Linked DNA regions of Danio rerio. Each later gene encodes a partner of the first gene's protein in a complex. Links are inferred from orthologs where the notes say so. Each region holds a gene or a part of one and is shown on either strand. Other genes may lie near its edges.

The links. Proteins that work in one complex are often made in the same cells at the same time.
Region 2: the proteins of gnai2a (region 1) and p2ry12 are in contact, whole or in part, in a cryo-EM structure (PDB 7XXI), measured with the Homo sapiens proteins. The link is inferred for Danio rerio from reciprocal best matches to the Homo sapiens genes GNAI2 and P2RY12. Residues at the interface, in NP_002061.1 of Homo sapiens: Arg24, Glu28, Ala31, Arg32, Leu195, Glu319, Ile320, Tyr321, Phe335, Phe337, Asp338, Ala339, Thr341, Asp342, Ile344, Ile345, Lys346, Asn348, Leu349, Lys350, Asp351, Cys352, Gly353, Leu354, Phe355; in NP_073625.1 of Homo sapiens: Phe59, Asp121, Arg122, Lys125, Thr126, Pro129, Phe130, Thr132, Asn134, Pro135, Ile212, Leu216, Ser219, Tyr220, Arg222, Thr223, Arg224, Val234, Lys237, Ile241, Leu301, Cys302, Lys303.

What each region holds. Positions count from the first base shown.
Region 1 is NC_133186.1:37,323,769-37,330,451, reverse strand, and holds part of gnai2a (guanine nucleotide-binding protein G(i) subunit alpha-2a), read right to left. Parts: intron 3,887-6,683; coding exon 3,745-3,886; intron 1-3,744. UniProt on the Homo sapiens protein: Guanine nucleotide-binding proteins (G proteins) are involved as modulators or transducers in various transmembrane signaling systems.
Region 2 is NC_133190.1:1,138,845-1,144,655, forward strand, and holds the end of p2ry12 (P2Y purinoceptor 12), read left to right. Parts: intron 1-1,709; exon of another isoform or gene 1,710-1,730; intron 1,731-2,320; exon of another isoform or gene 2,321-2,367; 5' UTR 2,368-2,399; coding exon 2,400-3,437; 3' UTR 3,438-3,729; downstream 3,730-5,811. UniProt on the Homo sapiens protein: Receptor for ADP and ATP coupled to G-proteins that inhibit the adenylyl cyclase second messenger system. Not activated by UDP and UTP. Required for normal platelet aggregation and blood coagulation.

The DNA of each region.
Region 1 (6,683 bases):
GGAGTTACAGCGATAAGTCCCATGGGATGTTGATTTCCACGTGTCTAAAGCACACACTGCACAAACTGTGACATATGGCTAACACATGCACTCTCATATGGTTTAAAGATATGCTTGCTGATGCTCCACTTCCTGTCTTACGCTCAGCGTTGCGCGCACAGTGTTTCTAATTAAAGAGCCAATAAAACATGGGGATGGTCGAAATTTTTGAAGACCATTTACATATTTCGATTTTTATCTCTTTTAAAAAATCAATTATAGATAACATCTCAACTGCCTGTCATTACTGATATCTGCAAATAGTATGGCTGCACCAAATGGGGAAAAATCTAATTATGATTCTTTTGATTAAAAGAAAAAAATGCATTTGTAATTTGTAAAAATGTATTCCAGGTTTATTGTGCTTGCGTGTACGTGTTCACAATTAGGCTCAAATCAATAATTTTAGCTACATATCAATATTAATAATAATAATAATAATAAAAATAAAAATAATAATAATAATGATGGTGATAACAACAACAACAACATCAACTATCATTATTATTGTTATTATTATTATTAATTAACTATATTATTGATTTGAGCCTAATTTTGCCTAATTGAGACTAACTGATATTATTGATTTGAACATAATTGAGCCTAACATCACCATCATTAATATTTTTATTATTACTATGAATAATAACAATATTAACAATATAAAATGAAATACTAAATAATATCAATAATATTAGTTAATATTAATAATATTAACAAATGAAAAAGACATTTTAAACAACTGTACTGTAAAAAAGTATTTTATAAAATAGTTTTAAAAATCATGACAGTAAAACAGTAAATAAATTTCAATCGAAAGTTTGTAATAATAATAATAATAATAATATAAAATTATTGTTATTATATAAATATTATGATGATTTTTATTATTGCTAATATTATTATGTAGTTGGTAATAATATATTTATTACTTTAATAATTATTAGATTATTATTATTTACAATATTATACATAATATAATAATAATAATAATAATAATAATAATGATAATGAAGATGAAATAATAATTATTAAAATAATAATATTAATGATATTAATAATAACAATAATATTTATACTAATGATGATGATATAATAGTAATTATTATTATTAAAATAACAACATCGATGATAAAGATATAATAATAATAAATATAATTAAAATAATGATAATAATATTAATAATAATAATAATAATTATTATTATCATTATTACTATTATTAACTGTTTTACAGTTTTGATTTTTATAAATAACTATTAACAATAATTCCGTTTTACAGTGTGGTTATTTAACATTTCTTAAATTTTCATTTACATTGACCCCTCTCCATGGTAATTTGAAACAACACCTGATATTTTTTAACCCAGCCCTACAATAAAACAGTAACCCTAATTATGGCTTAAACTTTTTGATAAATTGTTTTCAATGCATGCAAATCATTCATTAAAGAAGTATAAAGCTGATTCAGGACAACTAATTTGAGAAAATTGTATGAAAATTGTGTGAAAACATGTACATCAATGATGAACAAATGAATTTCAGCTTTCACAAGGTTGATGCGTTTCCAAATTCAGCCCTTGAACTCACGTTAAATGGCTCAGAAATCTAACTGTATGCAGTCTATTAGACTAGCTAAATAACCCAGGATTTCCTCAACACGCACTAGTTAACTACTTATCCAGACGACCCACTGACTTCCCAGTCATCGGTTGAGCACATCTCTCATCAAACATGCCACGAACGAGAAAGCAAGCAAGAGCGAGACACACTTGAGGAATGTCTCCAACAGATCTCTCTCTCACTAATTAAATGTGATGGAGAGATGTTGTTAGCCTCTCTAACAGCACTTTGCAGCTCAATTCCCTAAGCGGAGACACAATCATCCATCTCTCCCATCACCCGCCTAATTAAACCATACACTGCTGCTACACACCAAAAATAAAGGCTCTGTTTCCTTTTAAAAGAGCCATATTCTTGTCTTCTGCTGCTTTTTAAAAAGATATTAGGACTTTTAATAACACGTCTCTCTCAAGACTCCTATGTCCAACTTGTTTCCATTTAGACAGCGTTAACCCTATAGATTGTCACTGACTGTAAATTGTGGTGTGACGTAATATATGGCGAGTGTAAATCAGTGCTGACAGAGATGGAGTGTATCTCTCCAGAGCATCAGGTGGATCAGATGCACTGAACATACTGCTGCCCTTCAGGCTGTTCTCTTTAGATCTGCGCTAGCAAACTAACACTCTTACTTCCTTATTCTCTTTCTTTCCCTTGCTTTAAGCTTCATCTGTCCTCATGAAAGTCTTGAAGATAAGTTCATAGAGAGAATAAAAAGCTGAATAAAACATTTGCTGCGTTATGAGGGATCTGTAGTCCTTTACAGGAAGAATAGACAATGGATTACTAATAGGACTTTTACTTTGTATTTTTCTCGAATTTAAAAGATGATGCTCTCCAATGCGCTTCTTTTCTATTTTTTTCAATGTAGAGATGAACTTAATGAACGTGTGTGGCCGTGTCTCGGGACTTGAAGAGCTGGGGTTTTTTAGATGCCACACGAAGTTAAAAGAACTTCAACTTTCACATGCAGTGTTGCTCATTACTGTCAGTTCCATAGCAGTGGACCAATCAGAAGAGCTCAGAGGTGGGGCAACCATTACAAGTATGTGTTTACAGGCGCTCTGAGGTTGTGTCCAGATACGCTAACGGTATATGCTGTGCTTTTTTTTAGCAAACCATTCTGAACCATTGCGTGTAGTTTTTTTTTTTTTTTTTTTAGAAGTATAAGCGTGTCCGGAGTGAATGAGTCGACAGTAGGCTTGGGCGGTATCCAAATTTTGATACCGTCAAACCTCCTCCCTATTTTACCCCGGTATCCGGTATTACCGTGCACAATTAAAAATATGTCGTAAGGCTCAGACAGCATCACTAAACTGTTGGCTAGTGCCTAAACCATTCAGAAACTGAATACCATATATGCAACCTTAGGATCGCGGTCACCTGTTTGTCTTGTTTGTATTCTTCTGCGCCGGACGCTCTCACGCACGCACACACAGAGAGAAAGAGAGAGAGAACCAAGCGACGCACAGCATTGCTCTCTCTGTCTCTCATTCACACACACACACACACACACACATGCACATATAGGGCTCAACCTGTGCGGTGCACATGCCCTTTTTAGTGTTGGATAGAAAGTGCCTTTCCAAACTGATCTGAAGTGCCCTCGCGACAACCACCCCCCGCTCTTCATTTCGTCTCAACCAACACCCCCCACACCCCGCTCTTGAGTTCGCGACAACACCCCCCAACCCCCCTTCACCACATTTAATTTATATTTAAATGTACATCATCACTTTTTAATCATCACTTCAAAAATTACACAATTTCAGCTTTAAAGAGGCTGTGGTTTTCCAAATTCAGCTCTTTACTATGAAAATGCATCTGCTTGGTGTCTATAGAGAACATGACCCTGAACTAGTTTAATTTTACAGAGTTTTTACTATCACGCATTTTTCAACAGTAGCAAGAAAACTAATCAGACTGCATGCTGACAGTCAAAAAACTGGCTGTAGAGCAGGATCATGTGACTCTGGAGGGCCTCTGAGATAATCTGAGAGAGTGTGTGTGTGTGTGTGTGTGTGTGTTACTGTACAGTGGATGTGTGTGATTTATTTGCTGAGGGAATGCAGTGTGTACTCACCGCTCTTGCGCTGTCCTCATATTCGATCTTGAGGCTGGTCATGGCTTTAACGATGGCCATGATGGACTGGATGGTGTTACTGAAGACCACAGCTCGATACTGCTTGCACTCTTCCTCTGAGTAGCCGTCCTCATGGATAATCCTGCAGAATAGACACACAAATGTTCAACTGATCAGTGTTGTATGAAATATTTAGCGGCGTGCATTAAAATTTTATTTGAATTGTTTTAATGTGAGATTGTCCATTTGGCATTTATTTAATTGCGTTAATTTCTTTTACTATTGAAACAATTTGTGGTTTTTATTTAGTTATTTAAAATATTATATTTATTAAATGTATTGCTAGATTTCTACAACTATTTCTATGACTTCATTACAGTAACAAAAAAATCCTAATAGTTGTTATTATTTTGAACTTTCTACTGAATAATTCCAAGCTTTCTGAAAAAAAAAAAAAAAAGTTTCAATAAAAATATTTAGTGTTTTAATTGTTGTAATTGGAAATATTTAATGAGCACCAAATTATTGTTTTATTTTTTATGATTGATATAAATGGCTGTTTTTATTTAGTTATTAAAAATATTATATTTATGGCTATACTTCTAAAAATATTTGTATGGCTTTATTACAATAACAAAAAAACAAAAGCAATAATTGCTTTTTTTTTACTTTCTATATTTCTATATCCCTATATTTTCTATATTTTGCAGAAAAAATTTTTATAAATAAATCTGTTTTTATAAAAACATTTTCAGCGTCTTCATTGTTGTGATTAAAAATAACTATTGTGCTCTAAATTATTATTATTTTTTGTTTCAATTGAAATAAATTGCTGTTTTTATTTAGGTAATAAAATATATTTATTATTATATTTACTGCTGTATTTCAAAAAACATTTGTATGAATTTTACAGCAACTAAAATTCACTTTTATTTTGAACTTTCTATATTTCCAAGATTTTAGAGAGAAAAAACTAAATAAATCAATTTCTATAAAATATTTTAAATGTTTTCATTGTTGTGATTAGAAATATTTCATGAGCTTCAAATTATTTTTTATGTTTTTTACATAATTGAAATAAATTGTTGTTTATTTAGGTATTAAACTCATAAAAATATTGTATTCAATATTAGATTTACTGACTTATTTCAAAAAAATTTGCATGTATTTATTAAAAAACTTAATTTATTTTATCTTGAACTTCATATAACTCCAAGATTTCAGAGAGAAAAATATAAATCTGAAAAATATAAAAAATATATATCTGTATGAACTGCCTACTATAACAAAAATCCTAATAATTGCTTATTTTGAACTATCAAGATTTCCAAGAATTCAGAGAAAAATAAATAACCAAACCAAATAAATCTGCTTCTATAACAATATTTTCAGTGTCTTCATTGTTGTGATAAGAAATATTTCATAAATGACCTTCAAATTATTTTTTGTTGTTATTTTAAAATAATTATATTAAATTGCTGTTTTAAATTAGTTAAAGTATTTAAAATAGTATATTTATTGCTATATTTTTAAAAAATGATCATTGAAATATGTAATATATGTAATATAATATGAGTTTATAATATAACATAATGAGTTTATAATATAATATAATATAAAATAATATAGTTTATTTTTAAAATTTAATATTTAATGAGCTCTAAATCACAATATTTAAAAGATTTTCAGGCTTTGAATAATGAATGGCTGCAGAAAAATCATCTCTGCAGCTGCAGAATTAACAAATTTAACAAAAAACCTTTTTTATTATTAGTTTTATTAGTTATTTATTAGTTTTATATTATGCTTATATTACTGTTTGTTAAAATAAATACAGCAATTATTACCTGACCTATAAAAATAAATCAAAATCTTCCCAAGCACAAACGACAAACGGAAGCAATTTTTCATGTCACAAATAAATACATATCATGTCAATCACATTCAATATTGCTAAATATTACGAAAAGCAAATATAAACACAAATAAATAATACAACTGAGAACAAAGTCAGATTGGCACCAAAGAAAGAGCTGACATTAGATATTTGCTCAAAGCCTGCCAGAAGTATCCAGTTGTAAATAAAAATATCTCCAGGCTTTTGCAGTGGATGAAAAGTAGCCACTGAATTGATTTGAAGTGCTGATGTGAATTGTCCTGTGGATCTTGTCTGCCTGCAAATCTATAGAGATTTCTTTTTAATAATAATATTGTCAGCTCTGGCTCCTGCGGATGTGAGAGGGAACCTTTTTCAATCTGATAAAAAGCCAAGAAACCAAAGACACTCAGAAAATGTAGACTACTGTCTCTAATATAGGTACAAATATTTTCTAGAACAAATATTCAACAACATAATTAAATTACAAAATGAGTGCTGTGATTGTGCCCCAGATCAAAGCGTGTGGAAGCTTTTAGTAATGAGATAGTAAGTCATCTCAGATATGTAGTAAACACTTTTCCATCAGAGTGATTAGTGTGTAAAAGTGCTTTGGGAAACAGAGGCGTAGGGGAAGCAGCAGAGGTCAAGGTTAGATAAACAGTATTAACTGCTGCCAGAGGCCCAAACACACACACAGACAGACAAAGCTGTTTAAGTCAGTGTGTATGAGAAGACATGCACATGTATAGAATTTATCAGTCTTAAGACCACAATTATTTAGGTATGGTTCTCATTCAGATTGGACTTTAACTGAATATTAAAATAGATAAGTGTCACAAATTTCTAACTTCTTCTTCTTATTATTATTATTGTTATTATTATTATTATTATTATTACTATTATTATTATTACAGTTACTAAACAAAATCAGCTCAACTGCCAGTTGTTCTTTGAAATGAGCGACTGAACCTGTCAAAATGAACAGTTTGACTGAAATGAATGCCTCCGAGCACTAATCTAGAGATGGAGCTCTGCGCTTTGTTTATGAGCACCATTAAGT
Region 2 (5,811 bases), on another chromosome or scaffold:
CGAATAATATTGACCTTAAAATGACTTTTAAAAGTGCTTTTATTCTAGCGAAATAAAACAATTAAGACTTTCTCCAGAAGAACAAATATTAGAGGAAATACTGTGAACAATTTCTGAATCTGTTCAACATCATTTGTAAAATAATGGGAAAAAGGACGGTGATTGTGAATAATTGTGACTTCAGTTGTATGTTTTTTTTAATAAAATTTTTATTTATATTTAAAATAATATATATTCTAAATAATATTTTTATAAACACTTGATTTAATCTTCTAGGGCTTACACTGTAAAAAAAAAAAAAAAGTTGGGTTCCACACAATTCCTTCATGCTGTCTAAACACAAATCGATTAGGTTAACTTTATTGTTTTTCCAAATTTAAGTTGATTGAACATAAAACAATGAAGTTATCCCACAAAAACCCTTAGGAATTGTGTTGATTCAGCTTATTTTAAATAAGTAGTTTGAAGAAGCAGCAAAAATATTATAATATAAGTGTCTATTTAAAATACTTTGAATGTTTTATATTTTGTTACAGACATACGGTGTCATCCTGCAGATGTTTTGCAGCATATGAAATGTCCCAAACCCTCGTTTATAACTGTCCAAAAATGGACAAAAAATGTTTACTCTCTGATAGTCAAAAGATATTTAATAATATATATGTTAAATATGCATTAAAAACATTCAGGAAAAAGTGTTTTATGTAAATTCGGACCACAAGTCCCACATATATGGACATCATTTTTTTCTAAAAGTACATCATAAAAGATCATCATAAAAGATGATACTTAGATTTTTATTCTAATTACGTTCCAATAAGCCCAAATAGCAAAGAGAAATAAAAAATGCATGTAAAAACACCTTGGGCTTCAAGAGGTTAAGGCTTTTTACATATCTGGACTAGAAACAAGCCAAAACCCTAAGTAAAAAGCACATTTTTTTGCAGTGTACATTATTATAGACCATTTCAATGCGGTGATGCCATTGACCCATGAACATTTCCTGCTTGTTGTTAAACTATTTTCTAGCTGTAACAAGAGGCAATTCAATCATACCTTGACGTTAAAACAGCTATCATAACATTATTTATCAATATGTGGACATTTTTGGATTCTCGGAAGCTATGGAAATAAAAATGTAAATCAGGAAATAAGTTAGGACCATTGTTACTGTTTACATCGCTCAAAATGTCCCGAATCCTATTTTTAACTGTCCAAAATGGGGAAAAAAGGTTATTTTTACTCTCTAATAGTCAAAAAAAAAGTTTTAAAAAAATGTCTAATGTTAAATATGCATTAAAAACATTCAGGAAAAAGTGTTTTATGTAAATTGGGATCACGAGTCCACATATATGGACATCATTTTTCTCTAAAAGTACATCATATCAAAAGATAATACTTAGATTTTTATTCTAATTAGGTTCCAATAAACCCAAATAGCCAAGAGAAATAAAAAATGCATGTAAAAACACCTTGGGCTTTAAGAGGTTAAGGCTGTTTACATATCTGGACTAGAAACAAGCCAAAACCCTAAGTAAAAAGCACATTTTTTTTGCAGTGCACGTTATTATAGACCATTTCAATCCAGTGATGCCATTGACCCATGAACATTTCCTGCTTGTTGTTAAACTATTTTCTAGCTGTAACAAGAGGCAATTCAATCATACCTTGACGTATAAAAATGTAAATCAAGAAATGCGTTAGGAGCATTGTTATTGTTTAACTCCCTCAAAACTGTCATGGTTCTGTCTTATGTTTATTTCATTCTTACTTTCATTCTTACTTTCTTACACTCTTGTTTGTTTTCTCTTTGTGAGTGCATTGGTTTGAGTTAGCTTGAACAATGTATTTTTTTCTGTGTTGTAAGCGCACAGCGTCAAGTCATCTTGAGCTGTGTACTTATGTCTGTAATTTGTTTTGTGTTCAGCACATGGCTTGTGTTTGGTCTTTTCCACATGTGCTCATTTGTCTATTAATTAGACCCCGCCTGTCTTGTTAACTCATTATCATTTTGTTAATTTGTTTCACCTGAGCTCCTCGTTTGAGACTTTGTTTGCCCCTCTATTTATTCTCCCAGTTTGCTGTTGTCTGGGCTGATTCGTTTCTCATGCTACATGTAGTTAGATGCTTGTCTGTTTTTCTGTCCACTTTGGTTTTATTTTGTTTTACTTAAAATGACTATTTACCCTACCATGGGCTTGTTGTTTTTTTCAGCCCTTTTGGCTGTTATCTGGGCTCTGTGTCCAGTTTTTTGTTCCTAATTAATAAACTTTATTTTGTATTGCTGATTTGCGTCTGGGTTCTGTTCACACACCTGACTAAAACAGTCTCAGGACTCATCATTTCATTATGCATTCTTTCATTCAGGACTTCATTACTTCACCCAGCAGGACTCATCAATGGAGCAAACAACGCAGCTCAGCTTCTCCAACAGCAGCGTCTCCAACAGTTCATCCTGTTCTCGAGACGGCGCTCTGAAAACCATCGTCTTCCCCGTCCTCTACTCCATCCTCCTCATCCTGGGATTATCTCTGAACGCTCTGGCGGCTTGGGTTTTCCTCCGGATCCCCAGCAAATCCCACTTCATCATCTACCTGAAGAACATCGTGGTGGCCGACATCATCATGACCCTCACATTCCCCTTTAAAATATTATCCGATGCCAATGTAGCGTCCGTGGGCATCCGCATTTTTGTGTGCCGCGTGTCCTCCGTGCTCTTCTACCTCACCATGTACATCAGCATCCTGTTCTTCGGTTTGATCAGCATCGATCGCTGCAGAAAAACCATGTGGCCGTTCGTAGGCACCAACCCCAAACGTCTACTGCACAGAAAACTGCTTTCGGGAGTCATCTGGACGTCTCTCCTGGCTCTTTCGCTCCCAAATGTAATCCTAACCAGTCGTCCGAATATTGGAGAGCGCTTCAAATGCAGCGATCTCAAAACTGAGCTCGGACTGCGGTGGCATGAGGTGGTCAATCATATATGCCAGGTCATCTTTTGGGGAAACCTTATAATCGTGATCATATGCTACACGCTTATTTCCAGAGAGCTCTACAAGTCGTACGCCCGCACGAGGTCTCCGCGTGGGACGCAAAGCAAGAAGAAACACATCCAGGTTAATGTGTTCCTGGTGTTGGCCGTGTTTTTCATTTGCTTTGTGCCGTTCCACTTCGCGCGAGTGCCCTACACCATCAGCCAGACGCGCGCCCTCCTGTTCAGCTGCCCGCAGAAGCTGTTTTTCTTCAAGCTGAAGGAGAGCACGCTGTGGCTGTCCTCTCTCAATTCTGTGCTGGATCCGCTCATCTACTTCTTCCTCTGCAAGTCCTTCAGGTCGTCGCTGTTTAATGTGATGCGATTGGCTCCGGGACGCTGCAGGATCCTGAGGGAGCTCGGGACAGATTCGGCCGGCGATCAACAGGGAAACGCACTGACATGATGGACAAAACACGGACACACACATGGGAAAAACACTGGGGCTTGTTCTGTAAACATGCAATTATACAATGGGCAAGTGTTTTTCAACCACAGATACACTTCCGGTCAGAGGTTGATGTGTTCTTAAAGGTCCTGTTGAATTAAAATAGAAAAATGTCGATGTTATGCTGCAAAAAAAGCTTTCCTTACTTTGATTTTTTTTGTCTTTTTTTCCAGTCCAAATATCTAAAAATTCTTATATCAAGAAGCATTTTCTAGACAAGCAAAACATGTTGTCTTGTTTTTAGAAATAATGTGCTAAAATTAAGTCAGTTTTTCCTTTAAACAAGCAAAATAATCTGCTAATGGAGTAAGAAAAAGGATCTCGCTTTTCCTTTTGACTTCCAGGAATATTTTTCTTACCCCATTGATAAACGAAGAACCAGTCAGTTTTCATAACGGATAAACAGCTCTCTGTAATATTTCAGCATGCTTTCACTTTCGTAACATGAAACTCACATTTACTGATAGTAATGACATTCGCCCTACTCATAATTCTTATTCCAACCCAAGCTCATTCTGGAAACGTAGCCCCGTGGACATTTCTGGAGACCGCGATTTACGTGGCCGGAGGTACGTAAAGGGCGCGTTTAGTTTTTTCAAGCGAACGCTGCGGGGCGGTGTGGTGCCGCTCCGCCCCTCCTCTTTGCGCTCGCCGGCCGACGGCTCGCCTCCGAGTGGAGGGCTTTCCCGATGCAACCAGTTTGTCCGCTTAGCTCACAGCGTTGCGTCGGCGGAGCGGAGGCCCTGGAGGAGGAGGAGGAGCCGGCCATGGTGGACGACGACCGGGATCGAGTCCAGGGAACAGCGGTTCCGGAAATCAGGTAAGACGAAAAATGGAATCCGAAAAATAAGGCCGAGAATGCGGCGGGATCCGAAAACTTGGTCGAAATCAAAGACGAGGGCTTTTGCTTTTTTTTTTTTTTCTGGACGGCTTTTGCAAACCGTTGCTCGGGTTTAGGGAAGGAGGAGGAAGAGGAGGGCGGCCGAGTCGGCGGCTTTTCGTGGGAGAACGGTGCGGGCGCAAATGGCGCGCGCTCCCGAGAGGCGCCCGAGACGCGAAAAAGCATGCACAGCGGCCTTTCGCGGATTCGCGAAAACAAAAACCGCTCGAATACATACCTCCCGGGACGTAAATCGCGGTCCGCAGAAACGTCCGCGGGGCTACGTTTCCACAATGAGCCCGGGTTGTCTTATTCACATAGCCATATATGCCGATTACATATCCATAATACACTGTAACATAGGCTGGTTCGTAAGTTCACTGGATCATATAGCTTTCTCATTACAATCAATCCGCTTCAGAGTTCGTTTCATTTGAGCCGAGTCCACCTCCTTCAGGCGATCTCGGACCAATTGTTTTGGTGTGGATCAGAGTGTGATTGCTGGATTCACATATGCCAAACGAACCGCGCTAACTGGAGAAACGGGCCAGGTTCCAAAACAAAAGTCTAGGTGTGAAAGCACCCTAAAACAAGATGGAAACAAACCAACCTAGGCTCATTCTGAAAACGTAGTCCAGCTGATGTTTCTGGAGACCGCAAAATACGTCCGGAGAGGTACGTATTTCTGCAGTTTTTGTTTTCGCGAATACGCAAGACGCCGCTGTGTGCGCTTTGTCGTATCTCGAATGTCTTGCGAGTGCCGTTCGCGCCTGCGCTGTTATTGGGTGAACCCACCAGAGGCCACTGTCTGACTGACCGAATGATTGACTGCGCAACCGGCCAATCGGCTGACCCACCTTCCTCCTTCCCTAAACCCAACCAGTTTTACTGATTGTCCCGCCCGCCCGCTCACTTTCCTAAACTCGAGCAACAACTTAGAAAAGCGTCTAGAAAAAGAAAAGCCCTCGTCTGATTTCTTTACCACGTTTTCGGATTTCACCACGTTCTCACCCTGTTATGAACTCGTTCACTTTATTTTTTGGATTCTGTTTTTGTCTTACCTGATTTCTGGAAACCGCTCTTCCCCGGACTCGAACCCCGTCGCCGTGGTCAACTCCTCCTCTCTGCATCTGAAGTCCGCCGGACGTATTTCGCGGTCTCCAGAAATGTCCACGGGACTACGTTTTCAGAATGAGCCTGGGTTAAAACAAACCCAAAATGGAAGTGCCTTCTGGAGCAGCAGACAGGCACAGAAACTCCAATAAAGATACTGTGGTAAAATATATTTCCATCTTTTTAAGACATGAAACTGAACAAAGTAATTTAATGCAGCGCTTCATGTTTAGTCTGAGACCCACTTTATATTGTATATCAATCAAGCAGTGACGATCATTTGTTTTTTTCAGATCTTAAATGCAGCGATATACTCGACAGGCAATCCCAAGTGTACAA